4 linked regions of the Rhinolophus ferrumequinum genome follow. The protein of the gene in region 4 purifies or fractionates together with the protein of the main gene of each other region. This does not show direct contact. Links are inferred from orthologs where the notes say so. Each region holds a gene or a part of one and is shown on either strand. Other genes may lie near its edges.

The links.
Region 1: the proteins of SS18 (region 4) and DPF2 purify together in Homo sapiens (affinity purification with mass spectrometry; 4 studies listed by BioGRID and IntAct, counting the BioPlex papers as one, with this or other methods). This does not show direct contact. The link is inferred for Rhinolophus ferrumequinum from reciprocal best matches to the Homo sapiens genes SS18 and DPF2.
Region 2: the proteins of SS18 (region 4) and SMARCA2 purify together in Homo sapiens (affinity purification with mass spectrometry; 6 studies listed by BioGRID and IntAct, counting the BioPlex papers as one, with this or other methods). This does not show direct contact. The link is inferred for Rhinolophus ferrumequinum from reciprocal best matches to the Homo sapiens genes SS18 and SMARCA2.
Region 3: the proteins of SS18 (region 4) and ARID1B purify together in Homo sapiens (affinity purification with mass spectrometry; 4 studies listed by BioGRID and IntAct, counting the BioPlex papers as one, with this or other methods). This does not show direct contact. The link is inferred for Rhinolophus ferrumequinum from reciprocal best matches to the Homo sapiens genes SS18 and ARID1B.

The regions. Positions count from the first base shown.
Region 1 is NC_046294.1:6,328,874-6,336,340, forward strand, and holds the start of DPF2 (zinc finger protein ubi-d4), read right to left. Parts: upstream 3,254-7,467; 5' UTR 3,137-3,253; coding exon 3,105-3,136; intron 1-3,104. UniProt on the Homo sapiens protein: Plays an active role in transcriptional regulation by binding modified histones H3 and H4. Is a negative regulator of myeloid differentiation of hematopoietic progenitor cells. Might also have a role in the development and maturation of lymphoid cells.
Region 2 is NC_046295.1:33,833,191-33,840,633, reverse strand, and holds the start of SMARCA2 (probable global transcription activator SNF2L2), read left to right. Parts: upstream 1-4,351; 5' UTR 4,352-4,506; intron 4,507-5,124; exon of another isoform or gene 5,125-5,248; intron 5,249-5,992; exon of another isoform or gene 5,993-6,335; intron 6,336-6,488; exon of another isoform or gene 6,489-6,882; intron 6,883-7,443. UniProt on the Homo sapiens protein: ATPase involved in transcriptional activation and repression of select genes by chromatin remodeling (alteration of DNA-nucleosome topology).
Region 3 is NC_046286.1:98,774,020-98,781,748, reverse strand, and holds the start of ARID1B (AT-rich interactive domain-containing protein 1B), read right to left. Parts: upstream 3,400-7,729; 5' UTR 3,340-3,399; coding exon 1,795-3,339; intron 1-1,794. UniProt on the Homo sapiens protein: Involved in transcriptional activation and repression of select genes by chromatin remodeling (alteration of DNA-nucleosome topology).
Region 4 is NC_046302.1:22,094,613-22,102,709, reverse strand, and holds the start of SS18 (protein SSXT), read left to right. Parts: upstream 1-4,882; 5' UTR 4,883-4,968; coding exon 4,969-5,037; intron 5,038-7,652; coding exon 7,653-7,729; intron 7,730-8,097. UniProt on the Homo sapiens protein: Appears to function synergistically with RBM14 as a transcriptional coactivator. Isoform 1 and isoform 2 function in nuclear receptor coactivation. Isoform 1 and isoform 2 function in general transcriptional coactivation.

The sequences.
Region 1 (7,467 bases), on a different chromosome or scaffold from region 4:
TATAGGAAAGAATTTTGGACTCAAAAGACTCAATTTGAAATCTCAATCAAGGGTAAATCTTTAAGTGCTCTAAGAAGCTGGAAAACTGCACAGTGCCAGGAGTTATCTGGTTCTAAGTGTGTATATAGAACCAATCTTGTTCTCAGGGCTTAACAAACACTTTAGCACTGGAGCTTAAACTATAACAATTCGTATTTATATATTTGATAATCTTAAACAAAGGGCAGAGGCAATTTCTTTCCCACAGTATTCCCAGTACCCATGAAGGTAAGGTGTCTGGGGCATCTTGATTTGACTTAGGAGTAAGAAGACCTGGCTTGGATGAAAGTCACCAAATAAACACGCACAGGTATAGACTGGGGAGGTTGGATTAGATAAGTTCTAACATATTCTATGAGAGGGAGACCCCTTGCATGAGAAGCTGGACAGAGTAAGTCTGTGTGGCTTATGTACGTAACTTGAGCTACACCAACAAACTCTTCTCTGGAATCAGAGGGGAGCTTTCATTGAGCAGCCACAATAGATCACTTAGGTACAGCTTAGCAAGTTCCTAGCAAATGAAAAAACACACCACACACAAGGTGGTGACACCACAAGATAGCCTGGTTTGATTCAATGAGCTGTAATCCCTGTGATTTGAGGCAGCATGAATCCTGTGTTGGCGAGTGGAGAGCACAGAACAGGCTCACCTTGGCTTGCCTTTAGGAGGCAGCCATGTCCTCCTAACACAGAAAAATCGGATAAACAAGGTTGAGAGCAGCAGCTACTTTGTTTCTGCTGATGGGAATTGATACTGACATTGGAAGTCAAATGGAAGGAAGGGCCAGATGGGCTGAGAGCTGCAAGGAACAGCTTGGGGGGGAATGGAGAGTAAAGTTCTTGTGAGTTAAGGGGAATTTCAGAAGGTGAGGCAAACTGTCCCATGAGTAAGAGAGCTGGGACTGAAACACAAATTGGGGGGAGAGAGGATCTGATGGAGAGAGAGCAAGAGAGAATGAGAGAGCTCTTGAAGAAATGAAGGATCCTATCCCAAAAAATTCAAGCTGACATTATTCTCTAGATCTTGTTATCTAATCAGAAGGTATCAAAATTAGTCAGCAGCCACAGCTATTTAGTACTCTTATTTTACCTTAGTAAGACACCTTAAAGACTGTTTCAATTCTGATACCACATTTGGGAGGGACAGAGAATTTACAAATAGGGCAATTCTTCTCCCAAAACAGATGGAAGTCAGAAAAGATGAGCTGGTAGTCCTGACCTCGATGAATACAACCTCAGCTGTCAGAAGACGAGACACACCACGATCAAGAGAGCAACAGAAAAACATCTCACAGGGTGAGAGTGGTACAGGAATGAAAGCCTCTTCTTAAAGGGAAAGTTCTGTAGGAAAATGTATTCATTGTGATCCACAGCCCTCTGCAACTACAATTGAGGAGAAAGTTGGTTTCTCATTACTGGTACTCAGGAACCAGTGGCTGGTGACCCTCACAATCTCTATAGCTCTTTAAAGAGAAATAAGAAATCTTGCTCTATTTAATCGGGCAACTCCCCACTTCTAACACTACACAAAAGGGCTGGCGATCCTATTTCCCGGAAGAAAGTCTTCCTTCATAAAAAAATCTCATTACATAACACTCTCAAAACCTAGGCCAGTCGGACATTCTTCCAGTGTAGTAAGATTTGCGAGGTAGAAGCTTTGATTCTTTTTCAGGAAGCATGAAACCTGTGTAAAACCTCCCCTTACAATGGGGTGGGGGGAGTCAACAAAGAGAAAGGCAGGGAAACAAAGAAAGAACATCTGAGTCAGGAAGAAGAACTATATAAATGGTAGATTATTTCTAAATTGAGGGAAATGTCAGCCTGAAGAGAGAGCTGAGGAAACTGGAGTGGGCAGATCACAGAGAAAGATAACAGTGATGGGAGGAGGGATGGCTGAAAAAAGGCAGCAGGATAGAGCTGAAAGCAAATTTAAAAAAAAAAAAAAGAAAAAAACCACAAGAGGAGAAGGCACTTAGCTTAATGGAAGTGGGAAAGCTTTCTCAAAGAAAAGGCTCCAGGCAGGGGAGGCGGGGAGAAGCAATGTACCTTATAAAAGGCTCTTGGGAAGAGTGGGACTCAGCCCACCACAAAGACAAATGAGAAGCTTTAGAATAGTTCCCAAACCTTTACCTTGTCATCCAGTCAAAATCCGAAAGCCCTGGCTGGACAACTAGACACCTCTCAACGTACCTACCCCTGCACCAAGCCCAATTAACAGGAGCTTGTTCTATTGGCCCAACGGGGCACGAACCCATTTCAAAACCCATTCAGATTCTTCGTCAGGGAGGAGGCTGTATTAAATCAACTCCCAAAGCATCTCGAACTCATAGCTAACAGGCCATTTCCCCAACAACCATTAACTTTAACTTTGCTCGAAATCTGCCCAGCACAAGAGTATTGCCGCCCTCGATGCGCCTCCAGCTGCAAAGGCATCCTGCCGTCCAGCTCCCGTGTTTTGATGTCTGGGACTGGCCAGCTCAAAGGCCTTCTCCCCTGAAGTTCTTTCCCTTCTGTATCTGCTCAACAAATTCTTCCCGAGAATATTTTTGGTCTTGAATACCTGCTACCTAAGACACCCCCCACCCCACACACACACACGCCGCGGGGCTGCCCCGCGGTGCTTAACCGCGTGGAGGTGCCGCGCCTGTTGCTCCAGGGCCGCTTAGTCGACCGGGAGGGGTCGGTGGCCGGCCTTCGCGGGGACACTGGTCGTTCCCGGGTCCGCCCTCCGCCGGGTTCCTCCGGACTGCGGCGTCTCGGAAGGGACCCCGGAACTGTGTCTCTCGTACGCAACAAGGGAGCCATAATCTGGAAACCGTAAGCCTCACACAGCCCAGGGAAGCTGCCCGTCAGGAGCTCCCGTGTGCCCCCCTCAGGGCCTCCACAAGTTTCCAAAGAAGCGCAACGTCTTCTCCGGAGTCTCCTGTTGCCCTCCACAGCAGGAGTCGCAACATGGCCTTCCCCGGCACGTCCCTCTCTTCGCCTCGTCCATTCCCGCCCAGCCCCCTCCTCCCAGGCCCCTTACAAGACCTCCCGGCCTAGGAGAGAAAGAAATGACCACTCACAGCTTCACTACATTTTCCACCACGGCCGCCATCTTCCCTGCTCCTTTCCCTCAGGCCGGGAGGCCCGGAGCCTGCAGCGCGCAGGCGCCGGGACCTAACGGGGGGGACCTAGTTTCCTTGTCCCTCTGCGCAGGCGCCGCCCGAGCGCGCGCGCGTTCCAGAGCGAGCGGCGGAGAACCCGCTTGGCGCCCGCTCCCGCGGCCGGAGAGCCGAGGAGCCCGACGCGCAGGCGCGATGGGTACGGGCGCGCGCCCCAGCCTCCTGCTTGAGCCCTGCGTCTTCCATTTGGAGGAGCGGGAGCGGGATTTACCCTGGTCCAGAAAGGAGAAGGCGAGAGGTTGGTGAAACTGGCAGGCCCAGAGGTGGGCTAGATGGAGTGCATGCGTCCTGCAACCTCGCTCATCTTTAATCTCGTGCTTAACTCTTTGCTCTCAGTCACAGGTGGGTAGCGGAAGGTAAGAGTGGTGCATAGTTCACTTGGGCCGCCAGACATACTATTCCCATTTTAGGGAGAGGAAAATTAATGCCTAGAACTGGGCAGTTCTTTGGCCTAAATATTGGGGTCTGATAAAGTTATCTTCCTGCCACCAAACTCACCCACCAACTGCACTGGTACCCATCTCTTCTCCCTTGCTTCTTACTCCTATCTAAGCTCCTTCCCTCCACTTAGGTTTTGAAGAACTTCCTTCCTGCAACTGTTCTTCTCTCATCTGTACAATTAATTTCTCCCTCACTGTTGAGCCATGCAAATTCGTGTACAAACATGGCTTAATATTCTCTTTAAAAGAAAGCGAAGCTCTTCCTTAAGTCCATGTCTTCATTTATCACCCTATTTCTTTTTACCTTTTCATAGCAAGTGTTCTGTTTATATTCCCTATCTCTGTTGACTTATTTCCAAGTCTTTCTGCCCAATTTAATGGGGATGTTTCCCCCCACCAGTTCACTTGAAATAGCCCCTAACAAAAATCAACAGACTTAGAGATCTCCTCTGTCCCCAACAGCCTGTCAACCCCATGACACAAGTGACCACCAGTCTCTCCCTTACCACGTTTCTGAGGCATGCACCTGGCTGTCCTCCTGTCACACTGTCAGTTCCTTCAGCCTTTTCTGGCTCTCCGACGTCTGTTCCACCTGTAACTGTCAGAGTCTCCAGGGCTTGGTCTTTTGTCCCTGTCATATACCTTATTTCATCATTTCCAAGATGCACATATTCCATGTCCTCTCTCCCCCCCATTTTAATAATTCAGAATCAGGGCACATCTTACCATCACTGTGCCTTAAAATCGTGTTTGGCAGATGACAGTTGAGAGGTATGTGTCATTGTCTGCCTTCCATCAAACTTGCACAATAGGTGTCAGCAGCCTGGAAGAAAAACCAGAGATAATACTGGTGCACTCTTTTACCCCTGGGAACTGAATGATTGGGAGGACAAAAGGTGTCAGAGGTGACTCCAATGCGAGAGTCAGAAAGATGTGTTATGGTCTAAATGTCCTCCCGCCAAAAAAAAAAAATTCACGTTGAAGCCCTAACCCCCAATGTGATGGTTTTTGAAGGTGGGGCCTTTGGGAGGTAATTAGGGTGAGGTGAGGTCATGAGGGTGGGGCCCTCATGATGGGATTAGTGTCCTTGTAAGAAGATGGATCTCTCTTCACGAGGAAAGCCTTGTGAGGACACAGCCAGAAGGCAGATGTCTACAAGGCAGGAAGTGGGCTCTCACCAGGAACTAAATCTGTCGCCACGTTGATCTTGAGCCTCCAGAACTGGGAGGAATAAATGTCTGTTGTTGAAGCCACCTAGTCTATGGTATGTTGTTACAGCAGCCTGAGCCAACAAAAGCAGTGTGCTAGCTCTAAAGCTGAACACTCACATACTCTGATCCAGAATTTCCATGTGTGGATCTATATACCAAAAAGCACGTACAAGAATGTTTACATTAATTGTAATAGCCCCAAACTGGAAACATCCCAAATGCCCACGACAGTTAGAATGGATTAAACAACAATAAAGAGAATAAACTATTGCTACAGAACATGAATGAATCTCAAAAACTGAATATTGAGTTGAAGAAGTCAGTTTTAAAAGAGGACATCTTGTATGATTCCATTTATATAAAGTCACATACACAGACACACTAATCTATGGGGATAGAAGTCAGCAGAGCGGTTACCTTTAGAGGACAGTGGCAAGGAGAGGGCAGGAGGTGGCTGCCGAGGTGCTAGTAATATTTTTTTTATTCACCTGGGTAGTAGTTACACAGGTTTGTCACTTTGTAAAAATGAATTGAACTACACAAGATTTGTGCACTTCTCTGTATGTATAGTCAGTAAAAATTTTAAAATAAAAAATTAGTAATACTAAGGAGGCTAGTTCTGTACAATCGGAAAGGCAGTTTATGAGCCCAGCACCAATGGCTTTCAGGTCTTGTAGGATTCTTTTTTAAGAAATCACTGAACAGTAGATACCCTACATGTTCTGAGCAGTGACCAGTGACGAGTATATAGTGTTTCTCTTACAGACAGGAACCAAGGAGTGGAAGTGGGGGTGCAGCCGCTTGCCATCTCAACTAATGACCCTTTTGCAAAATGTTTCCTGTTCCTGCGACTCGGCTTTTGCTGATCTAGAGCCGTGAGGACCGAAGAGAAATGCTTCCTCCAGAGGCACAATAAGGATTTCTCTAAATTAGGAGCTGAGCCTGCCGGTGGGTCGTTTTGTATTCCACATCCACTGGGCAAGAAGGTGAAAAGCGGGTAGCACTGTTGGCTGGGGTGATTGATTCTTATTATCAAGGGGTAATAGGATTGCTATTCCCCAGTGGGGGCAGGGAGAACTAGAAATGAAACCTAGGGGATCTTCTTAATGTTACATTCAGGTAGTTAATGGGAGACAGGCTCCTGGTTAGGTATTTAATTCCCACTAAGACAAACTAAATATCAGAGAAAGGGAAAAAAAAAATCTTAAAACCATTCAAAAGCTAATAATATAATGAAAAATTACTGGGCCAACATTTAGGAGGCTGAAATCCAAAGAGGTAAGCCCAGAATTCAAAGCAATTTTTGTCCTGAAGACATTTACTGATCTGGAAGCTATAACTGAAACTGAGCTGTCTTTGGTGGGAGGATCAAAAATCAAAACCCAGAGCCTGCCGGTGGTCAGATATCCCACCACCACGAACACACACACACACACACACACTCACACACACAAGCACGCACATTAAGATGGGACTCCTATTTCTACGGACTAATATCCCAGAATCATATTATCTGGGTGGTTCAGGAAAACTCAAGCCTTGAACTTGGATTAAACTTGGGTTGAACTTGGACCCATCCTTATAATGTTCCTTGTCACTTGGCAAAAGCAAGCATATTTGGTACCAAGCAATATTCTTTCTGAAGGAATGTACTGCCATCCAAGGCCTCAAATTATTTCTAAAACAATTTTTTCAGGTATGATATCCAGTCCAGTCAAAGGTAATCAGGCACACAAAGAAATCTTGCACGAGAACTGATACACACCACAGAAAACACAAAATGATCCACAAAGATTTAAGATACTGGAATTATCTGATAATGACCATAAAATAATACTGCTTACTGTGTTTAAAGAAGGTGAAGACAAGCATAAAAATATCTGCAGGGTACAAGCACCTATTAAGAATTTCTACAACAGAATTTTTAAAGAATCACGTAGAACTTCTTGAACTGAAAAATACAATAACCCAAAGAAAACAACAAGTTGGTTAAAAAGCAGATTACACAGAACTGGAGAACCAGTGAATAGGTAGGAAGAAGTTATCCTTAATACATCACGGAAAGACAAAAGAACAGAAAATACAGGGTTAGCGTAGAAGCATAGAGGATATATAGAGAGCTCTAAGGTACATTTAATTGGAGTCTCAGAGGGTAAGGAGAGAGAAAGGGGCAGAGGCAATATTTAAAGAGCAAATGATAATTTTCCAAAAATAATGAAATACATGAAGCCACAGGTTTAAGAAGTCCAGTAAAGCCCAAGCTAGCTAAAGACTTAATGGAAATACACGCTAGAGTATTTGGAATGAAGTGTCACAATGTCAGCAACTTAACTTTCAAAAGGTTAGGAAAAAACTTGTATGCAGAGATAAAGCAAATGAGGCAAAATGCTAATAAATTGGCAAATCTAGGTGAAGGTAGATGGATCTACATTATACTAGTCTTTCAATATTTCTGTAGTTTTGAAGTTTTTCAAAATAAAAAGTTTGGGGAAAAAGTCAGTTCTATACGGGGAGATTCACTAAGGTGTCAGATTCTTTAAAAATGAGGGTCTGCAACATGTCACCCGGTAAAAAACCCTGAACAGCCAAGATAGAGGCTGAGGTCAAAGGGAA
Region 2 (7,443 bases), on a different chromosome or scaffold from region 4:
ATCATCAGCATTTCAGCTTGGAAAACATCATAAAGCTTCAGAACACTTAGTAATCTTGTTCATTAACATGATAATTAGTAATGAAGACCTGCTAAATTCTCTGTCAGACAGTTTTAATATATGTCTCTCATCCTTTCATTCAACAGTTTTTTTCCTTTTCTTTAACAATATACAGTAGTCCCCCTTTGCCAATGGGGATATGTCCCAAGACTCCCAGTGGATGCCTCACACCACAGATAGCATCGATCCCTATTTATACTGTTTTTTCCTACACATACATACCTTTTCACTTAAAGGAAGCACTTGATGACTTCTCCTTGGCTTACCCAAATTGCCAGCATCACTACTCTTGTGATATTGGGCCATTATTAAATAAACTAAAGGGTATTTGAACACAGTCACTGCAATATAGTGACAGTCCACCTGATTGTCTAGAAAGCTACTAACATATGGGGAATGTATACCGCATGGAAACGCTGGACAAAGGGATGATTCTGGATAGGAAAGAGCAAGACTGCGTGAGCTTTCATTGTATTACTCAGAATGGAGTGCAATTTTAAACTTATGAATTGTTTATTTCTGGAATTTTTTATTTAATATCTTGGGACCAGGATTGACTCCAGGCAACTGAAACCATTGAAAACGAAACTGGATTTGGAGGGGGACTACTGTACAACGTGCTAGGCATCCAGCTAATTGCTGAAGTTTCAAAGATGAATTGAACTTGCTTTACACCCTCCAGGCACCAACCATCTAGTGGAGGATAGCAAATAATCGTATCAAAGTGATAAGTGCTGTAACGGCCATACACACTGGTTGCTATGGGAGCAGAATAGGATAAGTGGCTTCCTCTGCCTAAGGAGGGCAAGGAGGGCCACTGGAAGGATGCTGGGCCATAGCTGACTCTTGGAGTATGTGTACTGAGAACCTGTATTTCAGTCAGAGGAATGTATGTCCAATATGGCCCCTTAGGAACCAGGTGGTAGACCATGTTTCCAGAGCTTAGGCATTTGGGGAAGGAGAACAAGCCTAGCAGAGAGATCTGTCCATGCACACTGCCTTGGATGGATGACACGCTAAGAAATCTGAAATTTATCCTATGATGGATTGGGAACAGACAAAAGCTTTTAAGCTAGAGAGTAATATGCTCACAAAAAGAATTGGGGTGGCATTTTGGAGGAGTGATTGTAGAGAAACAAAATCTTCTGAGACGATTGACTAGAAAAAAAGGATAGAGAGGAGTGTTTATTTCTGCAATAAATTTACTTGCTAATTCTAAACTCTCTCTAAATTAAATGTCAACTGTTCACTTTGTCAGAGTTTCGTTTCCATTACTGCAGATGAAGCACTCATGCCTTAAATGGTCTTACCTTCAAGCCCATTTGAAGTTAGGCAACATTTCTTTCAGTCAGCGTTAATAGTTTGCCTAGTGGGACTAGAAGATTCCTATCTTTGTGCATGGAAATTTTCTTCATGAGGGTGTTGTGATACCGATTTTCAAACCCAGTATCTACCGTATACAGAATGTCCACCATAACAGACTTACATAAAAAGTGAACGTGGCCATACAGACATGAAAAAGTGACTTCTAGCCCTTGATCCCAAACTAGAAAGAGCAAGTTCAGAGAACGCATTATGACTCATCTAAGTCCAAAAGGAAAAGTTTCATGTGAATATAGCATCCTGTGCGGCCTCCCAGTTTTTTTAACCTCCAACCATGTTTGCTTTTGTGTGATTTTCTGCAAAACAAAAAAACCTCATCTTTTTTCTCCTTAACATCAGTTGTTAAGTTTTGCTTTACATCAGAGATAAAGCTCACGCTATATGTTCTACAATCTTTTCATAATGAGTGAATGGTGCTGCCTTTTGATTTTTTCTAAGTGTAGGTCTTGTTTTATAATATTCCTACTTGCTACAGTATAAGCTACAAACAAGACGATTCTTTAGAGAAAAGACCTGAAATAAGGTGGTGTTTTCTTAGACCAATGTGAAGGGAAAAGGAGATGGAATATCTGTATTTAATCTCTGCTCCCAATCATAGATTTTATTTTTCAATTCCCATAGTTTTGCATATAATGCATGGATACCCATCCCTCCAGGTAATGCATCAAACTTTTGTATTAGCTGAAGAATATATACATGGAACAAAGGCAACTTTCTTCTTTACTTTCCTTCTAACAAAATGCCAGAAAAAAATGGCCAATCTCTTACTCCAGTTTCTTACTAAGATGATTGTTCTCTTTTTGAAATTTGGCATGGCAGGTGGAGGTAGAATCTTAAAAGGATAAAGGGCACTTATGCGCAAGGAAATAATGGTAAAGTCATCAATTTCTAAAAATTGGCCTGTGAGGTTGACATGGCAGAGAAACAAATTAGGTCCACCAAAATTAAAACTTAATATTACCTAATGTAATGAGTATTGCCATAAGGTTAAAGTCCTTCTGTAGATAACTAGATTATCCGGCTATATTATTAGTTGCAATTTAATAGGCAGTTAGAAGTTATACTTTTACTACATTGCTAATTTTGTTTAAGACTTCTGGCTGTGTATTTCCCAGTTAACAGTTATACTGGCATATCCTCAGGCAGAAAACGAAGTTCTCACAAAAGATTCTTCAGTGCATACTGTTTTTTATTTCTCTTAGATGTGTTATATTTGTTGTCTTGAGGTTCACTTTTGGGATAGGCAGAAAATTATGAAGCTCAAGTTGACAAGCAAGATAACAGGGCCTTAGAAAAACAACAGGGTGGGTGATCCTTGACACACCTAGCCACCTGAAAGTGGTGCCCTTGCAGACTGTCCTTCCTCAAGCAGTGGACCAGCAAAGTGAACAATTCTCGCCACTTAATGACCACATGCAGCATTTGGTGTTCTTTCATTGCTTTGTGTCTTCAGTGTACCCACTGCATAGTTTTAAGCATCCTAGAATTGCATTTCAGACCTGATTGCTCAAATAGAGTCAATTTTGCAACAGTAAAATGGCCTTAAAATAGGATTTTACTCTAGGGGGAAACATCCTCAACCAAGTAGTCACTGTGCACTTTGAATGACTAATTTAAACCATTACATTACAAAATAAGGGATAAATCATATTTTTCAGAACAGTACAGTATAGGAACAGTTTTAATTTTAAGAGTCAAGCACCGTCATTAATCTGAGTCTAAAATAATAGGCCCCTGATTTTAAAATCTAACATTCTTTCACACTTCATAAAACTAAAAATAAAATTGTCTCAGCAAACACTGACCTGTTCCTCCCGCCAAAGTACTGTATTTCAAGGAAAATTGGAACAAGAGGTCTCAAAACCGCAAAGTGCCAGCAGTTTACTGTTTGTAGCCCTAATTGGTCTTAAACGTGGGGTGGGAGAGAAGATTCTATGGTCTGTAGAGAATAAGAGATTTATTCCCCTTCTTAAATCAAAAGCAGATTCTATGCTTAAACTGCCCCCTAACCCGCCCGCCCTGCCCCCACAGGGTTGTTTTTCCAAATTTTTGAATATATTTTACCGAAGATGACAAGTGAGGGAGGTCAAAGTGCTGTGTCTGGTCCACAAAGTAAACAGACGGTTTAGGGCGGGTTTATTTATTTATAAGGCGTTCAGCCTCTCAGCTGTTTTCCCCTCATTGGCATTTGGAAGCTTGCAGTCCTTTAGAAAAGAGGTAGATTTGGCAGGAATGTTCTTTGTGCCCTCCTTCCTTTTGATGGGGGAGAAGGGGGCCGATTTATAACTGCAGCCTCGGGTCGCGGGCGGGGGGAGTGAGGAAAAAGTTTCAGCCGACACAATGCCTTCCCCCCCCCACAGTCAACACTATGCCACAAACCGCTTTGGTGCCACTCGGAGCCCTACCCGTGTCCCCTCCCTTTCCCTCTGCAGGCTCGCTCTGGCAGGCGGAGGCACCGTTAAATTCCAGCACCTTCTTCACATACCCCCAAACTACTACACGCTATTACTACGGTTGCCCTCCCCCTTTCGCTTCGCCTCCTCCGCTTCCCCAGCTTCCCGGGAGGAGCCCGGCAGCGCCCCTGGAAGAGGTCTACCCGGAGAGGGATAACGGGCGCCCAGCTCCATCAAGCCTTGGGGCTCTCTGCGTCCTGCGCAGTTTCTCTGCTCCAGGCACAACCACGGCTCGAGAGCCGGCGCCTTGCAGACACACACCGATCCACGCATACAGTAGAGCTGTCTCCGTCCACATTCTTGCACACCGCCCCCTCCTCCCCCCGAGCTCCCGGAGTCGCTGAGCGGGTCGAGTGACAGGCGCGTCCCACCAACCCGCGCTGGGGCGGGCAGGGAGGAGCGGCGCGCGGGGCCAACTGCGGCGCGTCTTCCGGCGCCTGTGGAGGAGGCTGAGGGTGGGACGCGGGGCGGAGCCGGAGTTTAGGAAGAGGAGGGGATGGCTGTCATCAATGAAGTCATATTCATAATCTAGTCCTCTCTCCCTCTGTTTCTGTACTCTGGGTGACTCAGAGAGGGAAGAGATTCAGCCAGCACACTCCTCGCGAGCAAGGTAAATATAACTTACAACTCCTTTCTCCTCTTTCCCCTCCCTCCGGCCTCCCGGCTGCAGCCGCCGCACAAACCCCTCTGGCACCGCGCCGCCTTCGCCGGGGATTATTCATTATTATCCTAATTATTATTTATTGTGCATGCACAGAGACCAAAACAAATAGGCGGGCCAACCGCCACAACAACAACAAAAAAAGCCCGCCTCCTCCCCGCGGGCCTCAGGTGGAATGCTCTAACGACAGCACCCGGGCGGCGGTGGAAGAAACGGGAAAGTTTCAACCGAACCTTGCTGTTCTAATAATAACAGTAATAATTACTACTTCAAGGAGGCGGGGTGGGGGGGAATTCCCAACAAACCACAGCCTTGACCCTGGGTAGGCAGTCAGCGATGCGCTGCCAACTCAAGGTTGCAATACACACACTCGGCAAGGTTGCAGTCCCCCCCCCAACCCCTTAAAAGCCGGAGGGGGTGGGGGGTGGGAAGGAGGGGAAGGCAGGAGGATACAGGAGGAGGATGGAAACGCGACAGTTCATCCCGAGCAGTCCTCCCCGGAAGAGTTGGAAGAGGAGCGGGAGAAGGAGGCAAGGAGCCCGGGCTTGCGGCGGGGCGCCAACCAAAGCGGCTGCTACCCGCTTCCCGGGGACTAGTTTAAAGGGTTCCGGCTGCGGAGACCTGAGCGGAACCCTGCAGGAGAAGCTTGAGCTGGCGCGCCGAGCAGAAGGCTGCCACCGCCGCGGGGTCTGTGCGTGTCGGATCGGAGGTGTCACCTCCACTTTGCGCGTTCCCTCGGGCGGGGATGGGAATGCTGACCCGTAGGCAGGCCTTTAGGGGAAGGGGCCGCCGCGGAGCTGTGCCCGGGGCTCTGCGGGCGTCCCTGCCCCTGGTACCTGGCAGCCGCGCGGGCTCGGGTGTTGAAGTTCGGGGTGTCGGGCCCGGGCCGCACTGCTGGGAAGGAGGGAGGAGGCACCGAAGAAGGAGGTCGGAGGTGCCAGCCGGGCTCAGTTACGCTGCCTTCCTCCCCTTCCTCCCCCTGCACCCGGGTTTGTCTTGTTTTGCTTTGCGCCTTCCCCAAGCTGGAACCGCGGGAACCGCGGGCATAGATCGCCCCAAATCGTCTGGGTGCTAGGGGCGCTTTGGGGCCCGGGAGAGCCACGGTGGTTGCGGACCGGGAGGCCATGATCCAGATAATCCTCTCTGCCTGTCACAAACAGTACCCGCGCGCACGCCGGCAGTAGCGGTGGCGTTCGCCGGAGAAGGGGAAGGGCTGCGGGGGGTTGGGGGGGTGGGGAAGCAATGGGGGGGGGGGGGAGGCGAGGGCTGGAGGCGGGGAGACCCGATGGGAGCCTCCTCCCAACGATGACACGCACCCCTTCTTTCTCGTTCCCTGCTTTCGAGTTGCTTTATTCCCATTCCAACCTTTTTTACCCTTTCCTCTGCTCTTCCCTCTATCCGGCCGGCCCTCTTCCCTCCTCCCGTTTGTGTTGCAAAACATGGCCATGCCATCTGCAAAGGTGTCGAGATGCACTTCCCCAAATAACCGGTCCGGCGCGCCAGCCCCTAGGCGCCCTCCGGCTGCGGGGCGCACACAGAGTCCAGTGCCAAGGGTGCCCCGCACCAGGCCTCGCAGCCTGGGCGTAGTTGCACCGAGAGGGGCCGGGCGCAGCAGTGCGGGCTCGCGGAGACACCCGCGCCCTTGTCTGGGCACTCGGGCCGGTTTCCGGTACACGCGGGGAAATCGCCTCCTGCCAGTTTCTGGGCGCTCGCCCCTGCCCCGGCCGCCAGGATTGCATTATTATTTTTATCCGGGTTGCTGTTTGCGGCGGATCCTGGTGAGCGCGGGGCTGGCTGGGCTGCTAGGGTGGGGGTTGGGGGAGGGAAGTTGGACGCGGATCAGGCAGGAAAAAAAAGTTTGGCAGGGCAGCTAAGTGGGGTGGGGGGGGTGGAGGGGTAGGAGAGGGCGGCGAGCTCCGGCGGCTTGCGTCTCGGCGCCCTCGAAGCGGGCGCGAGGGTGTCTGCGCGTGAGTGTGTGTGTGTTTTGTGCGCGCCGGGTCCAGTGCGTTGGGAGCAGGGCGCGGGCCCTCCCCCGGAGCTCGGGGAAGACCTGGCGAGATTTGGAGGAGGGGGCTGGTTGGGGTGGAGTGTGCGTGTGGCTGTGAGTGTGAGTGTGCGCGCCCGAGCGGCAGAGAATCAGGAAGTCACAGCAGCGAAGCGCACACAGACATGTTTGATCGCCGTGACATGACGCGCGCGAGGGAGGAAGCGGCGGCGGGGGCCCGGCCGCGGGACCCCGCGCAGGCCTAGGGCTTCGGCGGGGAGACCCGCTTCGGGTCGCCAGCTGCACAGCCACGGCTCCTCTTTTTGTTCCGCGTCGCCCAGGTAAGCAACCTTCGCCGCCGCCTGTTGTGTGCGGAGCTTTCCAGCACTTTCCCTGCCGACTCCCTCCCGTCTCCCCGCTCTCTTTTCCTGCAGTCAGGCAGGCGGAGGAAACGGGCTCCTTCCCTCCGATCGATCGCGTGGAAAACTTTAGAGGGAGGCATCATGCGGAGGAAGGCGAAGGCCTTGCTGGCTGTTGTCGCTTGTCATTTCTTTCTCCTGCGGGTCCGGAGAGTGGAGTCGCTGCGCTCTGGGGCTGTTGCACTTTCAAACTTCGGGCCTAAACGTGCCTTCAACTCTCGCAGGATTTACTCTAGCAATAAAATAAGTATTTAGAGTCGTTCACTTGGTCTTGCCAGGGTTTGGATTTTTTAAGAGAAGAAAACAAGGCTCGGGAGTCGAGGGAAGTGGGGGTGTTGTGCAGAATCCATGCCTTCTTTAATGTCTGCACAGGCTGTTATGTAATTTTAGTGGCACATGGGTGCAAAGCCCATTCTGGGCTTCTCCCCTCCTTTGTTTATATAACTTTTGGGAGAGTTTTGCAAGGTTGTCGCCTTTTCCCCC
Region 3 (7,729 bases), on a different chromosome or scaffold from region 4:
CCAAATCAGAAGCAAATATAAAATGACTTTTAGTATTTCACAAGACTATCCATTTTTTCCTTTTAACTAATTGTTCTCTGCAAACATTATATAGTTTTCTCTTCATGTTTTTTAAATATAATGTCAATTCTAACTAAAACATCTCATCCATAAACAAAATGGTCAGAATTGTTAAAAACAAATGACTAGAAATACAGCTTTAATCTTGTTATAAAGCTAATTAAATTTCACTGAAAGGTATTGTTGTATATCAGAATCTTGAAATTTTTAATAGTATAACTTTTAAATTTATAATAAACTATGTCTGATGACATAATGCAAATTTTTTTATAGTTTAATCTATAAAGCCTATTTTTATAAAGCTTAACAAACCCCCAATTTGGTAAAAATCCTTTAATTATCTTCTAACTGCCATCTCCTCACTCTACAGTCAAGGGCTGTGACACATGCAATGTCCATGTTAGGATTACCAAAGATCTGAATTTTGTCAATGCCGAATACTGGACACCAGTGTAACGTTTTCATGTATTTAATTCTCTTACTAATAAATACGATTCACAATAATTTAAGCTTTAAATAACATTCAACCTTACATCTGCTTGTAATAGAGCTCAGTTATTATTTGTGGCAAGAATTTTGTGACTGTACTGCTCAGCACTATTTACATCAGCAGTGCTAAATGCCCAATGGTGAGAGGGGAGCCAATCAGATGGCAGATTAGATGTCAACTCAGAGGCAGCTGTCTGGAGACTATTACAGCCAGTTTACCTCCACAATTCAAATTCCAAACCTTGCAAAGGAGATCAAGTCAGTCTTTAGGCTCAGCCTACGAGCAAGAAGCGGCAAGAGTGCAGGACACTTCCTAATAACGCTGCGGGACTTGGGTGACAGCAAATTAAAGAAAATCCTTATAAATCCTATCCAAAATGATCAATTTTCACTGACCTGCTATTTTCCTGGACTTGCTGAATAAAATGTATGCCAAATCCATGATCAAAATAAGTTCAATGTAACCGGACTGTGTTCCTTTAACATAGCCTATCTGTTGAAGGTGACTCCTTCCAAGCAGCCCGTAAGCCAAATAATGGATTTCCTGGCTCTTCTTAGGAATGAATCGATATATTTTAGAATATTTCACCTCACATCGTTGTACATTTGGGTATTATTTTTGCTAGTAAATATTCCAACTCAAAGCCCGCATCGAATTATCTCTGAATGGCTGGGCATAACTCCGAAAACCACACTCGGTTACCACAAAGCTAACCTATTTTTCCTGCCTTCACCTTGGAAGCCGAAAGAGAACGTGGTGTGGCTGGAGGTAGGACAAAGTTCCTCGTTCTTTTCCCAGTTAATGCTTATTGTTGGCGCTAACCGAGAAGACGAGGTTAATATTCTTGCCCAGACCACAGTGGCCGGAGCGCCGGTCTGGTTACAAAAGCCGCCGGACCGTCCCCAGCGCCCACACGGCTGGCTGGCGGCGCAGTCCCCGACTCCGGCACGCGCGGCTCGGGCCTGGGGTGGGGTGGCGAGGCGGGGTGCTCGGCCGCCGGCAGTGCCAGCGCCCGGCCCGGCCCTCGGCCAGACCCCCTCGCCAGGCCCCCGGGCCGCGCACTCGAACACCGTGCGCTCCCCAGACTCTAAGGGAGGCGTCCACCACTTAAAATGGCTTTGGGCGCCTCACCCCCACCTCCCCCGACAGAAGACGCAGAAAAAGTACGCGGAAAGAAAGAAACTAGGGCTCGCGGCGCGCGCCGAGGCCGCGGCGGAAGCAGGCCCGGCCGGCGCGGGGGTTACCTGGGATCTGCCCATGGTGGGGCCAGGGGTGCCGGGACTCATCGCCGGGTGGCTCCTTTGTTGCGCGGCCGCCCAGGCCGGGCTGGCGGCGGCGTACTGGGCACCCATGTCCTTGCCCAAGCCCATGCCCGCGGCCGCCTGCTGGCCGCCCGCCGCCGCCCCCGCCGCCGCCGCCTGGGACTGGGGCTGCGACGGCGGCGGCGGCGGCGCGCTGGGGCTGCTGTAGTCGGGGTAGCTGCCGCCGTAGCTCCTCATCATGGGGCTGGGCGAGGTGAGCAGCTGGTTGAGGGTCGGGGTGGCCCCCGACGGGTGCTGGTTCTGCCCGGCGAAGCGCTGGAAGCCCCCCGCCGCCGCGCCGGCGGCCGCCTTGCTGAGGCTCGCGGCCCCGCCGCCCCCGGGGCCCATCATCATGCCGCCGCCCTGCTGCCGGGGGGAGCTCAGCACCCCGTACCCCGAGGACGAGCCCCCATAGCCGCCGCCGCCGCCGCCGCCGCCTCCTGCTGCTGCTGCTGCTGCCGCCGCCGCGGCCGCCGCCGCCACAGCTCCCGCTCCCGCTCCCGCTCCTCCTCCTCCTCCTCCTCCTCCTCCTCCTCCGCTGCCTCCTCCTCCTCCGCCGCCGCCGCCGCCGCCGCCCGCGCCGGGCCGGCTGTAGCCCGGATAATGGTTGTACTGGCTGTTGGGGTACCCTTCATGGGAGTTCTGCAGGGGGTCCATGCTGTTGGGGGCTCCGGCGGCGGCTGAGGCGGAGTGCATCATCCCCATCCCGGGGCTTTGTTGTCCGCCATGTTGATCAAAGCAAGGCCCAGCGCGGCCGCCGGGGCCGCCGCTAGCAGGGGCAGCGCTGCCATAGTAATTATTAAACTCCGAGACGGCTGCGGGGCCGCCGCCGCCGCCCCCGGGCACGGCCACCGGCGGCTGCTGCGCGCCCAGGGTGCCCAGGCCCGGGTGCTCGTACCGGCCGCACGCCGGCTCCCCCATCTTGGGCGGTGCGTCGTCCTCGTCGCCCGGCTTGCTCAGCAGAGGCTGGCCAGGGGGGTCAGCCTGGCCGCCCGCGGCACTGTCCTTGGCGCCTCCATGTTGCGGCTGCTCCATGTCGGGACCGGGCTGAGCCGCGCCGCCGCCCGCGTTGCCGAGGCTGCTGTTGTTGGAAATGGGATGTTGCTGCTGCTGCTGCTGCTGTTGCTGCTGCTGCTGCTGTTGCTGCTGCTGCTGCTGGAACTGGTTTAGCTGCTGCTGTAATGCGTGGTGGTGGTGGTGGAGGTGGTGGGCATGGTGGTGCTGGTGGTGGGCATGGTGGTGCTGGTGGTGCTGCTGGTGGGGCGGTGCGGAGGGGGCTTCGCCAACGGTTTTCAGTTTGTGGTTGGGGAGCAGCCCCGTCTCCATGGCCGAGCTCGGGCCCGACGAGGAGGAAGAGGAGGACGCCGCGGAGGAGGAGGAGGACAGCGCGGCGGCGCTTCCACCCTCCTTGAGAGCCGCCTCGGATCCGCCGCTCTTGGCGCTGTTAGTGCTGGCGGCAGCGGCCGCCGCGCTCGAGTTATGGGCCATGTTCAGTTCGTGACGGGGGTGCAGGGGGTGGTGGTGCACACTGTTCAGGCTGCCGCCGTCGCCGCCGCCGCCGCCGCCGCCCCCCAGCGTGGGTCCCGGTGCCGCCGCCGCCGCGCCGCGCGCCCCCGTCTCCAGGTCCCGGACCCCGGGCGCCGGCCGCGGCCCGGGGGGCGCCCGCCGCTCGCCGCTGCCCGCCCGCGCCCGCGCCGCCGCTGCCGCTGTTGCCCGCGCGGCCATGATCGCCGCGGCGTGGCGAGGCCGGGCGGGGGGCGGGGGGAGACAATAAAACCCACTTTTTAGTCCGCGGCCCCTCCTGTGCGCATCCACACGCCCCGACGGGGATCGAGTGAGCCCCCTCCCCCTCCACAGGCCCCGCCGGAGCCGAACCGGGAGTCACGCCTTACGGTCTGGGCCTGTTCCCGCTGTGTGATTTCATGGTGAAAGTTTTGAGTTCAGGTTTAAATGAAACTTTTCTCTTTTCCTCTCTAACCCGGATATGGGTAAATACACGACTGGTTGAGCCTATTGGGCCCAGCATGGCATGAGAGGGAGCCGAGCGAGCCCGAGCAACTATTATCCACTTCTCTCTGATTACTCGTGTGCACTCGCAAAACGTGGACTGGACTCGGTGGGCCGCCGCCGCCCGCCGGGCCCTGCGCCCGCCGCCCGCCCGCCTGGGCGCAGCCTCCCGGGCACCCGGCGGGCCCGGGCCCTAGGGCTTGGGCCCGCTCCGCAGGCGCCCGGAGCGCGGCGGCGTGGGGCGGATGAAGGCTGCACTTTCCCCCTCGTGCCTCCGTCTCCTTGCCAACCGGGCGTTCGCGTGTTTGTTTTCACGTCTAAAAGGAACGATACAAAGGTGGAAAACGAGTCTGACGAGCAGACAAAAGAGGGAGAAGGGCTGGGGAACAAAGTTGTCTGTTGGCCTCAAAGGTTACGTACGAGGAGCCGACGGAGAAAGAAAATATTTGGGCAATCGGTGCAAAAGGACTGTCTCTCCCAGGAGTTACGTAATTTTTCAGTGTTAGCCTCTGTGCCTTGATTTCGGGCCATCAGCATAATTCCCACTTCTTCAAACTGCAAAATTAGGAGAGTTTAAGTGATCCTTAGCCGAATCGGAGGAGCACTGTGCTCTGTACACAGCAAGTACTCAATAAATGCTTATGATTGACTGCACCTGCCCCAAAGATAATGTTGATATAACTATATTTTAAGCGTCCTTATATATGTATGTAGGCTTATCAGTGAAAACTCAAAGTATTCCCAAAGGAGCGTCTTTCTTACAATGCACTTGTCCTCTCTAAAAGGAAAGTATGAAGAGTTGTGTGTTATGCTCCAAACAACTTACACATGGAAATTTTAACGGTCATAAATAGCAACAGCTAAGGTTTATCCCATAACTTCATAAACCTATATGATGCTTTTCACCATATTTCAGAGGTTAATGTGCTCAATTAACCCTTTTGATATGAGTTCGTTTCTAGGCAATTGGAAACAAAACTAAAAGAAATACATGTTATGTTTAATAAACATAAGATCAAACATAATATAAATTGGTCATATCTAATCCTAGAGTAGAAATGTTTCATACTTTGTTCTTTAAAAAGTACTATCTATTGTTTTATCACTTTATGATGTCTTAAGTGTTTTTATTGTTAATTTATCACCTAGTAACACCTTGAATTGCTTCAATAGCAGGAATTCTTAACCTAAGCAATGGCTCAGTTGTACTAGTGTGGACTCAGTTTTCGTGGAGAGAAAGCATTTGAAACCAGAGCTTTGATGAGGTCTCCCTAGCTGAAATATATATGATTTTGGTAGAATGTAGTTTTCTAAAATGATTGCATTCTTCAGCTTTTCAAAAAGACCATTTTAGTTTATTTCAAGTGCAGTAGTTATTTTTGTTTGCTTGACCAAGTGTCAATATGTTATGTGACTAAATAGAAAAGGATAGATGGGAAAAACAGGTGACTAATGGGGGGAGGGAATCAAATGCACACCCAAGGGTCATTATATAGAGTATAGAAACAACAAATTGCAGTTCTATGCAAGCAGCTGGAAAACAGGGTTATATCATCCTGTGTAAGAGAATAACAGAACTGTAAGATGAATTCATGCCAAATCATTCATCAGTTTTTGCCAAGAGACTACTACATCTTTGTCAGTGGGCCTTTTTGACATTTTTCTTCTGATTTTCTCCCTTTATATATTCAAATACAGTACATACTAATTATATATACACATATATATGTGTATATATATGTATATATATAATACTACATAAGTTGAATTTTTAAGTTTTTCGTATGCAAATATAAATATATGTTTTGTGTATGTGTGTATATACATATATTCTAAAATGAATTACATATGTATGCATTTAGACATTTATAGTCAAACTAAATATATACATACAATCATAACAGTACATTTTTTCAAACCAATAAAATATATCCAAGTCAATTCATACAAGTGTAGCCATATTTCTGGCTTATTTTTAAAAACTAATTCTAAAAGGGAAAATGAGTCACCAAGTTCAGTTCTGGCCCATTTCTTAAAAATATTTCATATAGAAAAATGAAACCAAAAAAAGGTATATAAGTCAAAATCTCTTTTAATTCCATTTGCTTCAGCAAGTCATCTAGAAGATTGGAACCAAGAGGCTATGAAATAGAGGCCCCAGCACAATGAAATCAGTCTGCTATAAAAGGAGACACATGCCAGTTTGTCCTCCCCAATGGCAGATGCCACACCCTAAAGCAGACAGAAGGCACTGCAGTCTGTAAGAGAAGCACAACACAAAGCCGGCAGGACTTGGTTTTGTCTTTTAAACCACAGAGACTGCTAAAATACCTTTTAAAAAGCATCTTGCTGAAGATATTCAACCTATACTTTTCAAACACACCTCAGGAAAACAAAATCAAAGCCTCTTACAGTTTCATTTAAAAATCCAGGACTTAATAAACAAAACGGCAATTATTGGGGGCCTGTCAGAAAGTGATGAAATAGGTTCACATTTCACAAAAGCACAATTTGAACTATACATCATGATTTCTACTGTGTGGCTTGCTTCAATAATCATATATGGCAATTCAACATTTATATTTTAATTTAAAAAAAGGTAGTAAAAATCACCGCATTTATTTTTCGTAATGAATTCCTAATTTTTACACCTCTTGACTAAACTTCAAATCATGATGACAACTTTAATAAGTTTCTCCAGCCACAAGAAGCCGCAGAGGTGAAGGGCCGGAAGCTGCCGAGTGACGGTGCCTACAGCGGACCTCCCACCCACAGGTTGCCCCATGCCCTCGTGTGCAGCCAGAGGATTATCCGTTGTTTTGCTAAACATTACTTTTGGCTACAAAAAGGGTTTGGGGTTTGTTTGGCTTTTTTTAATTATATGAAAAATTAATATTCAAATACTGCTGCTTTTTGAAAAGTTTTAGGGCGCTGAATAAAGGACTGTTGGACTTGCCCACTTCAAGAGGATTGAGCCAGATGATAGTTTAAGAATGCCACAGTTCTGTTCTTTTTGCCTCATCAGAGCCCATCACACTGTTTGTTTTCAGATTAGTCCCCTTTTACTGTTCTGGTTATTTATTCGATAACTGAAACTATCACGATTCACTACCCATCATATTTCTCAGTATGCTTTACATAATTTGGAAGCAATTTAGAATAAAGCCCTGTCAAGGTTTTACAAATAAGAACTATTAAAGAATAAGGCTTTGGATACTTGCTTTCCTTTTAGATTTATGAGAAATGCGATGAATGGAGCTAATGGGATTTCCCTACTGATCTTGGTCAGGCACTTTAAAAAGCACTAAACAATTGTCCTTTTCACTTCTCTGATTTACTTTAGCAGTGAATAACTGAGTTAGTGCAAGATACGGGATATACATTTGATTTGAAACAACTATGCATATTAACAGTGGCCCATAACTTTGGGATGCAAAACAACTAGGATTTGAAAAAGATCTAGGCAACAGTAATTTAAAAAACTGGGGACTGATGATCAGTAGCACTATTGTACTTAGAAAGAATATAATAGTGGGGATAATAAAACTGATTGGGGAAAAACTACACTTACTCACAAAAAAAATTATCTAGAATCTATGACATGCCCTGAGAATAAAAAAGGTAAGTACTACCTTGATCCTGTTCTCAATAGGGGAGATAACCAATTACCCTAAAACATAATAAAGGCTGCCCTGAAACATCATGGAGGACGTGGCCAGTCAAGAAGCAGGCTCGGACTTCCCACCCAACAGCTTTCCCTGTGGCTGTGTCTTGTTGGCTGCCATCAGTGGACACCTCGCCGTAATCTTCAACCTCAGATGGCTCTAACATGCCCCTGGGAACCCACCATTGTTGGAGCTAGACTTCCAGA
Region 4 (8,097 bases):
GGATATCTATCTGTTCAAAACAGTCCTTTCTCCATTGAAGTATCTTGGCATCTGTGTTATTATAGTTTCCAATGGCTGCCGTAATACATTACCACAATCTAGGTGGCTTAAAATAAATTTATTTTCTTACAATTCTGGAGGCCACAAGGCTGAAATCATGGTATCTACAGGACTGCACTATAATATAATGCTATTATTTTTCTTTTAAGAAACTGTATAATAAATGTGATTGTTAGGTTAGTTTACTATATATTAGAACAGTAGTTTGAATATTGAATCACTTATCAGTATTTTAGTGCACATTGCCTAATTCAGCCATAAATGTTAGATGGGAAAAAACAATCTTATTAGTTTCCTATTTCTGCTCTAACAAGTTATCACAAATTTTACAGCTTAAAGAAACACATATTATCTTACAGTTCTAGAGGTAGGATGTCCAAAATGGGCCTCACTGTGTTATAATTAAGATTTTAGCAGGTTGGTGTTCCCTCTGGAGGCTCTAGGGGAGAATCTACTTCCTTGTCTTTTCCAGCTTCTAGAAGCCACCCACATTCCTTGTCTCATGACCCCCTTCCATCTTCAAAGCCAGCAATAGCCAGTCAAGTCTTTCTCAAGATACCATAATTCTGATTATGACCCTTCAACTCACTGTTCCTCATTTATGGATATTTGTGATGACTTTGAGCTCACTCAGATGATCCTGGTTAATCCCCATATTTTAAAGTCAGCCAACTAACAGCCTTAATTCTATTTAGAACCTGAATTCCACTTTACCACGTAACCTCTCATATTCACAGATTCTGCAGATTAGGAGGTGGCCATCTTTGTCAGGATGAAATTATTCTGCCTACTGCACCCATTCATAGGAAAATTAGTTAACAATTCATAGGGAAATTAGTATATCATAATCCTCTCTGTAAATTGTGAAGCAGTTCAAGAACAGTTAGTATATTCTTTTGCTAAAGGTAGAGTAGCTACACATCATGCATAAGGTCAGATAACATGCTAAATTGGAAAAAGATCACTTAATCTCTAAATTATAGCCAGAAAATTTCCCAAGGGTAGACTGCACTAGACTGCACTATCAAGAACTTTTGAACATTTCTACTCTTAAAGTATATATTTTTCTCCTTATTAGATTAAGAACAGATCTTATCCTTGTTGAGCAATTTATAATGTGCCACGTATTTTTTTACATATTGTACATGTTAAAATTTGGGACAATCTTTAAGACTCTAATGTAAGATAATCACTTAGCACAGTGGCTGTATATAATAAATGCTAAATAAACAGTAATTAAACACCTTATTATTTCTAATAGCCTTAGGGCAGTTGTTTTTCTGTAAGGCAAATGAAATATAGAAATGGCCTGTCCAGTAGCATTGCATTGGTGGAAGAACTGGGAACTCCAAACCTGTGCATTTCTCAGTGAATTAAGGTTGCATAGAGCTTCACATAGAAACTATTTTTTTTAAAGCAATACCATCCTATAACATTAAACACCAAAATATAATTGATTCAGCTCCTCCTTAATTCAGTCTAAGTTTGATACTGTAAAAAGAGATGAAAACGCACTAAATAGGGTTTGTTATGGTCTACTTTGAATTAAATCTTCTGGAGTATTGAAAAAGTTTTATGGAGAATTGGGAAAGGTGATTTGTTCTTGCCTGGAATAATGAATATATATATTATATAGTCGCCTTATAATTTTGAAATCTGTTAAAGCGCCAACTCAAAATGACTCATCAAATGCCATGGAAAGGGTGAGCAGAAATAGTTTGAATTACCTGAGGAGTTTTGCTCTGAGCCCATTTATGAACAGACAGGCTTGGTCAATGCCTTTCCAAATGTATTCTAAGAATTTATGGCAGCACAGGGGCTTAAAATATCAGCAAATTTGATAGTCCGTGTGCTCTGTTAATTATAAAACAATATTACAGAAATGTTTGTATGAAAGTAATCTCAATTATCTGCACATGCATAATACGTTTTTTGTGGATTAAGATAATTTTTAATGCCATGATTATGTAGTTTCACAAAATATTGAGCGTATTCCTGGAGCACTTCATCAGTTCCATGAAAGGCATTTAAGGAATACAAACAAGTTCATGTAAAACAAATTAAAAATTGAAACATTGAAAATCAAACATGGACAATTTTCCTACTACCTTTTTTGAGTTAAATGTGTCTATATTTATTGGTATGAATAATCAAGATTTGTTCATGCAGATCTTTTATTTAGTCTGAGCCACTGTATATGTTCTTCTATTAGGATTATTCTTAAAAACCGTCACCTCTTCCTTGTGTGACTTCAATTCCTCTGTCAGATGTCTCAATCCAGAACAGCCTAAATAATGGGACTGATGTTTCTGGATGGGGCGATGGTTGCCTGGGTAAGCTCTTTTTTAAGTTCCCGCAGTCATTTCTCAGACTTGGGCCAACCTCCCATCTTTATTCTCCATTTTCTTAACTAAATGCTGGGGTCTCTTTATTTTCCTTTTCGTCCCAACTCTGCTACCACTAAATCTGTACCTTGGGATTCCTTTCTCTTCAAAACTAATGAAGTGAGGCAGGATTTACTAAGTGCCCTTAATTATCTTTTCCTTAACTCAAGGCTCTTACAGTTACAAAGATCTAAGAAAGTTCCTCGAGGCTACAATCTACCCTCTCATTCTCTGAATTTTCTACTTTTCCACATTAAACTGTGTTTACGAAGGAAGCATGAGAGAAAGGTAGTGTCCTATTAAAGTGTCTTCTCTAAGGGAGATGATTTGTATTTCTGGCTGGACCTTTATTCCAATGCTTCCCAACCGATTTCATGTGACAGATACATAGAAAACACATGGTATCACAGAAAAGACTGGTTATGCATGCCTCAAGTCTAGCCTGTCAGTGCCCTAGGTCCTACCCAGCTACTGTGAAGGAATAAGCGCCTTGGGCTGACCTATTACCCATTTTTAGTTGATATCCTTTCCTGTTGTTGGGGAGCTGTAATGTAAACAAAGAAAGTATCTCCTGGGTACCTCCTTGGAATAGAAGTCCCCTTAGCACTTTTTTTTTTTTAACCGAGCTATAGAAATTCAGACTATTCCTACTGGTTCATGTTGCTCTTTAAGATTTCATTGCTATCTGCCAAGCAGATACAACTGGAGCAGTAGGACAATTTGTCATTTTTCCCACTGAAATATTGTTCTTAACTACTTAGGTACTTTTATGTAAATATCAAGATGATGATAAAAGCCAGGTGTTGAACATACAGTGTTTGTGGTGGACGAGACTTAGTTTCTGAGTTCATGAGAAATTTTTCCAACATGAGATTACATTAAATTCAAATATACCAGAGTTGTTTCCCCCCCCCCCCCAGGGCTTAGAGTAGTGAAAGGCAATTAAATTCTTAAGAATAATTACCATTAGTAGAAGTATAAATTCTCTTCCCTTTATTCATAGGATGGCTCGAATTTTTTTCACGTTAGGTCTTTGTTTAAATATAGCAGAAGACTTCCCATCCTAACTCACATTGAGTGTCCCTGTCTGTTCTCAGTTCCTTGTTTGCTAGTCTTTCTTAGAACTTTACATATAGCATATTTGTTTATTTGGTTTTAGTCTGTCAGCCCTACCAGAATATAAGCTCCTTGAGAGCAGCTCCCATATTGAACTTGTCCACAGTTGTATCCTAGGTGCCTAGGATAAAGCCCATAGGTAGAACGCACCCTAATGTGCTGAATGAAACTTATGACCTTTTTGTGGAGAGCATTTATTTGAAACAAAAAACTTTATAAATTTTTTCTTTATTTTTTCAGTTTATATATAAACTGAGGGATTGATTTTGAGCCTCGTTAATTTGGGGTGACATTTTATATAAACTTTTCCTTTGTATTAGGTGGAAATGTAAATTTACAGAATAATTTAAAAAACCTCACACCAACACATAACCCACATTTGCCCATCGTCCTTACATAATTGGAGAGCTTTGTTGTTTTTCTTCCTAACAGAGTTGAAGCCTGGCAGCTTGGACCTAATTTACAAGGCACTAAGTATGTAATTGGAAAAGAGTGAGGGTTCCCTATTTCAAAACTTAATTCGAAAAATCCAAGTCAGACGAACTCGACCCGACGTTTCTAAGGGTTTGTCCCAAGCAGCGAACTCCTCCCCTGGTACGCTAGCCAAGTTGGCCGACTGCCTCTGAGTACTGGACACAGCCCTGTTTCCCGATTTTGAATCAGGCTCGCTTCCAATTGTTAGTGACGACGTGTGCGCGTGCAAGACTGTGGACTCAGAGGTGCGCATTTGGGGCGTAGCCGAGCCGTTTAAACTAGCGAATCCGCGTTCACCTAGTCCTCCACCTCTACCTCATGTCAGCAGATGCTCCAGCGGTTTGCACGGATTCCCGTGTCCTGACCTTCTTCCTCCCCTATCCGGGGTGCCTAGACAACTCGAGGAGGGGTGAGGATAAAGTTGGAAAAATTGAACTAGATCAACAACAGCGCCGAAACGCAGTTTGAGGGACATTTCAGCGCGCCGAGGAGGGAGGCAACTTGCACCCGCGTGAAAGGGGCGGGCCAGTTCGGGCCACTCGCATTTCCTGTGACAGGCGCTGCCCCAGCCTCTCACTCTCCCGTGGCGGCGGGACCATTTCCTGAATCGCAGAAGCGGAGGGAGGGCTGGGGCGCGGTCCTACCATTAGCGCAAAGAGACTGGGGGCCATGAAAGGAAAGGTAGAAGGACGAGAGGTCGATCAAAAACTGAGAAGTTCCATGGGGGCTTAGATTCTCAAATAACATTCGAAAGAGGACGTGTGTGGGCCAGAGTTCCTCCTTTAGGCCAGGCAGGCCTCCTGTTTGTTCGACATTGGAGCATCCCCCCACCCCGCATTCCCGAAGTGGTTCAGCCCGAGAGGCCGGCGTCTTTCCCCCAGTTTGCTGTTCACCGGTGCGCTCGGGACTTGCCGATAGTGGTGACGGCGGCAACATGTCTGTGGCGTTCGCAGCCCCGAGGCAGCGAGGCAAGGGGGAGATCACTCCCGCCGCAATTCAGAAGGTGAAACCTCGCGGGGACGGGGATGCCAGGCCCATCCCGCCTTTGGGAGAGACCCCCGGGGGCCGGGCCGACAGTCGGTCGGGCCGGGGGCGGAGGCGGGCCTGCTGGGAGGCGGCGGTGTGGCAACCCGAGCCACGGGCTGTGCCTGAGTGGGTGGCGGAAGACGGCGAACTGGTTCTCTCACCGAGTCCTTGGCACGTTGGGCCTCTTTCCTACAGGCACAAAAGCCCAAGTAACCGCCGCCGGATTTCTCTAGGGATGGGGCGGCGTTCGGGCTGCGGGGCGCGTGCGCCCGGCGGCGCTGATCGCGCGGGGCAAGGGCTGTTACAGCCGGCGCCCCCCGCGGCCCCGCGCGTCGCTCCGGAGTTACTTTAGCGTCGCCCCGCCCAGCGCTCCGTGGCTGCTTAGTGTAGACCCGATCTCGGGTCGCGGGAGGCCGAGGCGAAGTCGCCGCCCTCCGCGGTGCTGCAAACTCCAGCCGAGTTGCGGAACTCCGAGAACTTGGGGGACGCTACAGGGAGCCTTCATAGAATCAGAAGGGTAGGCGAGGGAGAGCCCTCTGGACTTCAGGGTTAACCTCGGAGTCCCCTTCTCCATTCCGGATTCACCCCACATCCGTTTGCGTCTCCAGCAAATTTCATTGAGCGCCATGTCTAGGCTCTGAGGCTACAGTGGTGAGCCATGGACCCTGCCTTCATGGAGTTTACAGTCTAGTGGTAGAGACAATGATAATTATAACCAATTACGGAAGTCGTGATAAATACACTGGGAGCCGCCTCCCTTTTAGAGAGTAGTACTGTCTCTTGTTGCCGTGTTACTGCCAATTAGGGACACAAAGGTTCTTTATTGTCTTCTACTCTTGTTGCCTTATGAGCAAAGCAGCATTCTAAAATTTACTCAGCCAGACTTTGAAAAGTTACTTGCTAAACTTCGTAGTTTACCTTAAATATTTCGATTTTGTTTTATGCACTGGAGTAGGGATGAAAATTGAAGAAAGGTGAGTTTTTAGTACTAAGGGCAACATCGTATGTATTACTACTACATCCTATGCCCAATAGATTTGTTCATCAGTTTCTGTTTACTGTCAGGTTCTTTGTAGTGTGCCATTTGACGTTGATTTGCCTAACTGACTTTATTTTATGAGCAAACCGGCTTGGCAGTGCTTGGGTGCTGTATTTTCATATAGTGCATTGGGCTAAGTCTGCAGTGTGGCGAACAGCTCCAAGAACACACTCAAAAACTTTTTTTTTTTGGGGGGGGAGGGATTCACTTTTTATTTTTGGACTGTAGGAAATTCCTGAGTTTTTCTTTTTTTCTACAGTTTTTCTTAAGGTATTTCTCATGGGTGATTAATTCAGGAGATGTTGATCAATTAGTTGTCATCTTCAGATGAGAAGGGAAAGTGGATTCCAAATCAAGTGCCTCGTTTTACAGTGTGAGGGATTAATTTTAGATATGAGACATTCTAACGATACAGTTTGTTAGGCTGAGAGATCTACTGAGAAGATACGTTGTGAAATGGTTTGATTGTACTAATGCATTATAAGGACAATTTTTTTTGGCATCTAGTGAGTCTATTTAAGAAATTAACAGTTAATATTTTTTTCCAGCAAGTTAAGATTATGATTCATATGCAGAAAAAAGACACAGTTACTGTTAAATGGATCTTCGTTTTTAATTGAGTTATATTAACTAAATTATTGAGATAGAGTGATTATGGTATTCTACTTCATTCGTTGTTCCTCCTGTACTTGCCCGGAGGGATGGGGCAAGTACAGGGGGAACAGCTACTCCTGTCCCTTGATCTTTCAGATAAATCTGAAATTTTAAGTGGTTTGCATGGGATAGCAAAGGTGGCACTAAAGCTAACTGGCCTTTTAATTGCTATTAATACATGAGTATTCTTTTCTCAATGTCACTTTGCTTAGATGAATTATTTAATCCTTAAAACCAATACTGCTTTAAATTGTAATAACATGATAGAGTGATAAATAGGTATGCTTTTGTTTTTACACTTTTGGGACAACTGAATTATAAGGTAAGTCTGCAATAAATTTATTATACATAAGTAGAAATTATTGTATTTGATTATTTCATGTTTGGAGAATCACAAAACCATACTGTGTAAAACTTGGAAACTGGCCAGCTATCTCCTCAAGCTTCCTGGGCTGAAGTTTTTATGTATTTACTTCATTCTGGCAAGCTTCCTGGGCTGAAGTTTTTATGTATTTACTTCATTCTGGATAAGGACAATTTTCTTTACTACTAAAAAGCATTAGAATGATAGAAAGCTAACTTGGACTCAACAGTTAGTCTTAACAGACTAAAGCTTCTATTACATATATAGCAGGGGTAATTAAGTGTTTGAATACAAAAGAAACTTCAAATTTTTCCTTCAGGGCTGCAGGTAATAACTAAAAGGGAGCATAATTGGAATAGAGTTATCTAAAAATTGTTGATTAAACATGACATTCCAGAGGTGTGAAATAAGATTTAAAAGATCTGAGTGGATTCAGTTTCTGTATAGATAAATATTTCTAGAAATTTGAAGGTCTTTTAAAAATTTTACTTGATAACACTAGATTTACAATAAACTTTTTCCAATTTTATTTCAGATGTTGGATGAAAATAACCATCTTATTCAATGTATAATGGACTATCAGAATAAAGGAAAGACCTCAGAGTGTTCTCAGTAAGATTGATATGAAAATTTTCTTTTAATTTTCATTTTTTGTGTTGAAATTTAAATTTCATTTTGTGTTAACTTTTTAATAGCAGCTTTATTGAGATATAATTCACATACCATACAATTTACCCATTTTAAAGTGTATAATTCAAGTGTTTTAGAATATTGATAAGTTGTACTACCATCATTTCAATCAATTTTAGAACATTTTCGTTATCCCGTCAAGAAACTATATACACATCAGCAGTGACTCCCCATTTCTACCACCTAATTCCTCACCCCTTGACAATCACCAATTTTTCTGTCTGTGTAGATTTGCCTGTTGTGGACATTTCATATAAATAGATTCATACAATATGTGGTCTTTTTTGACT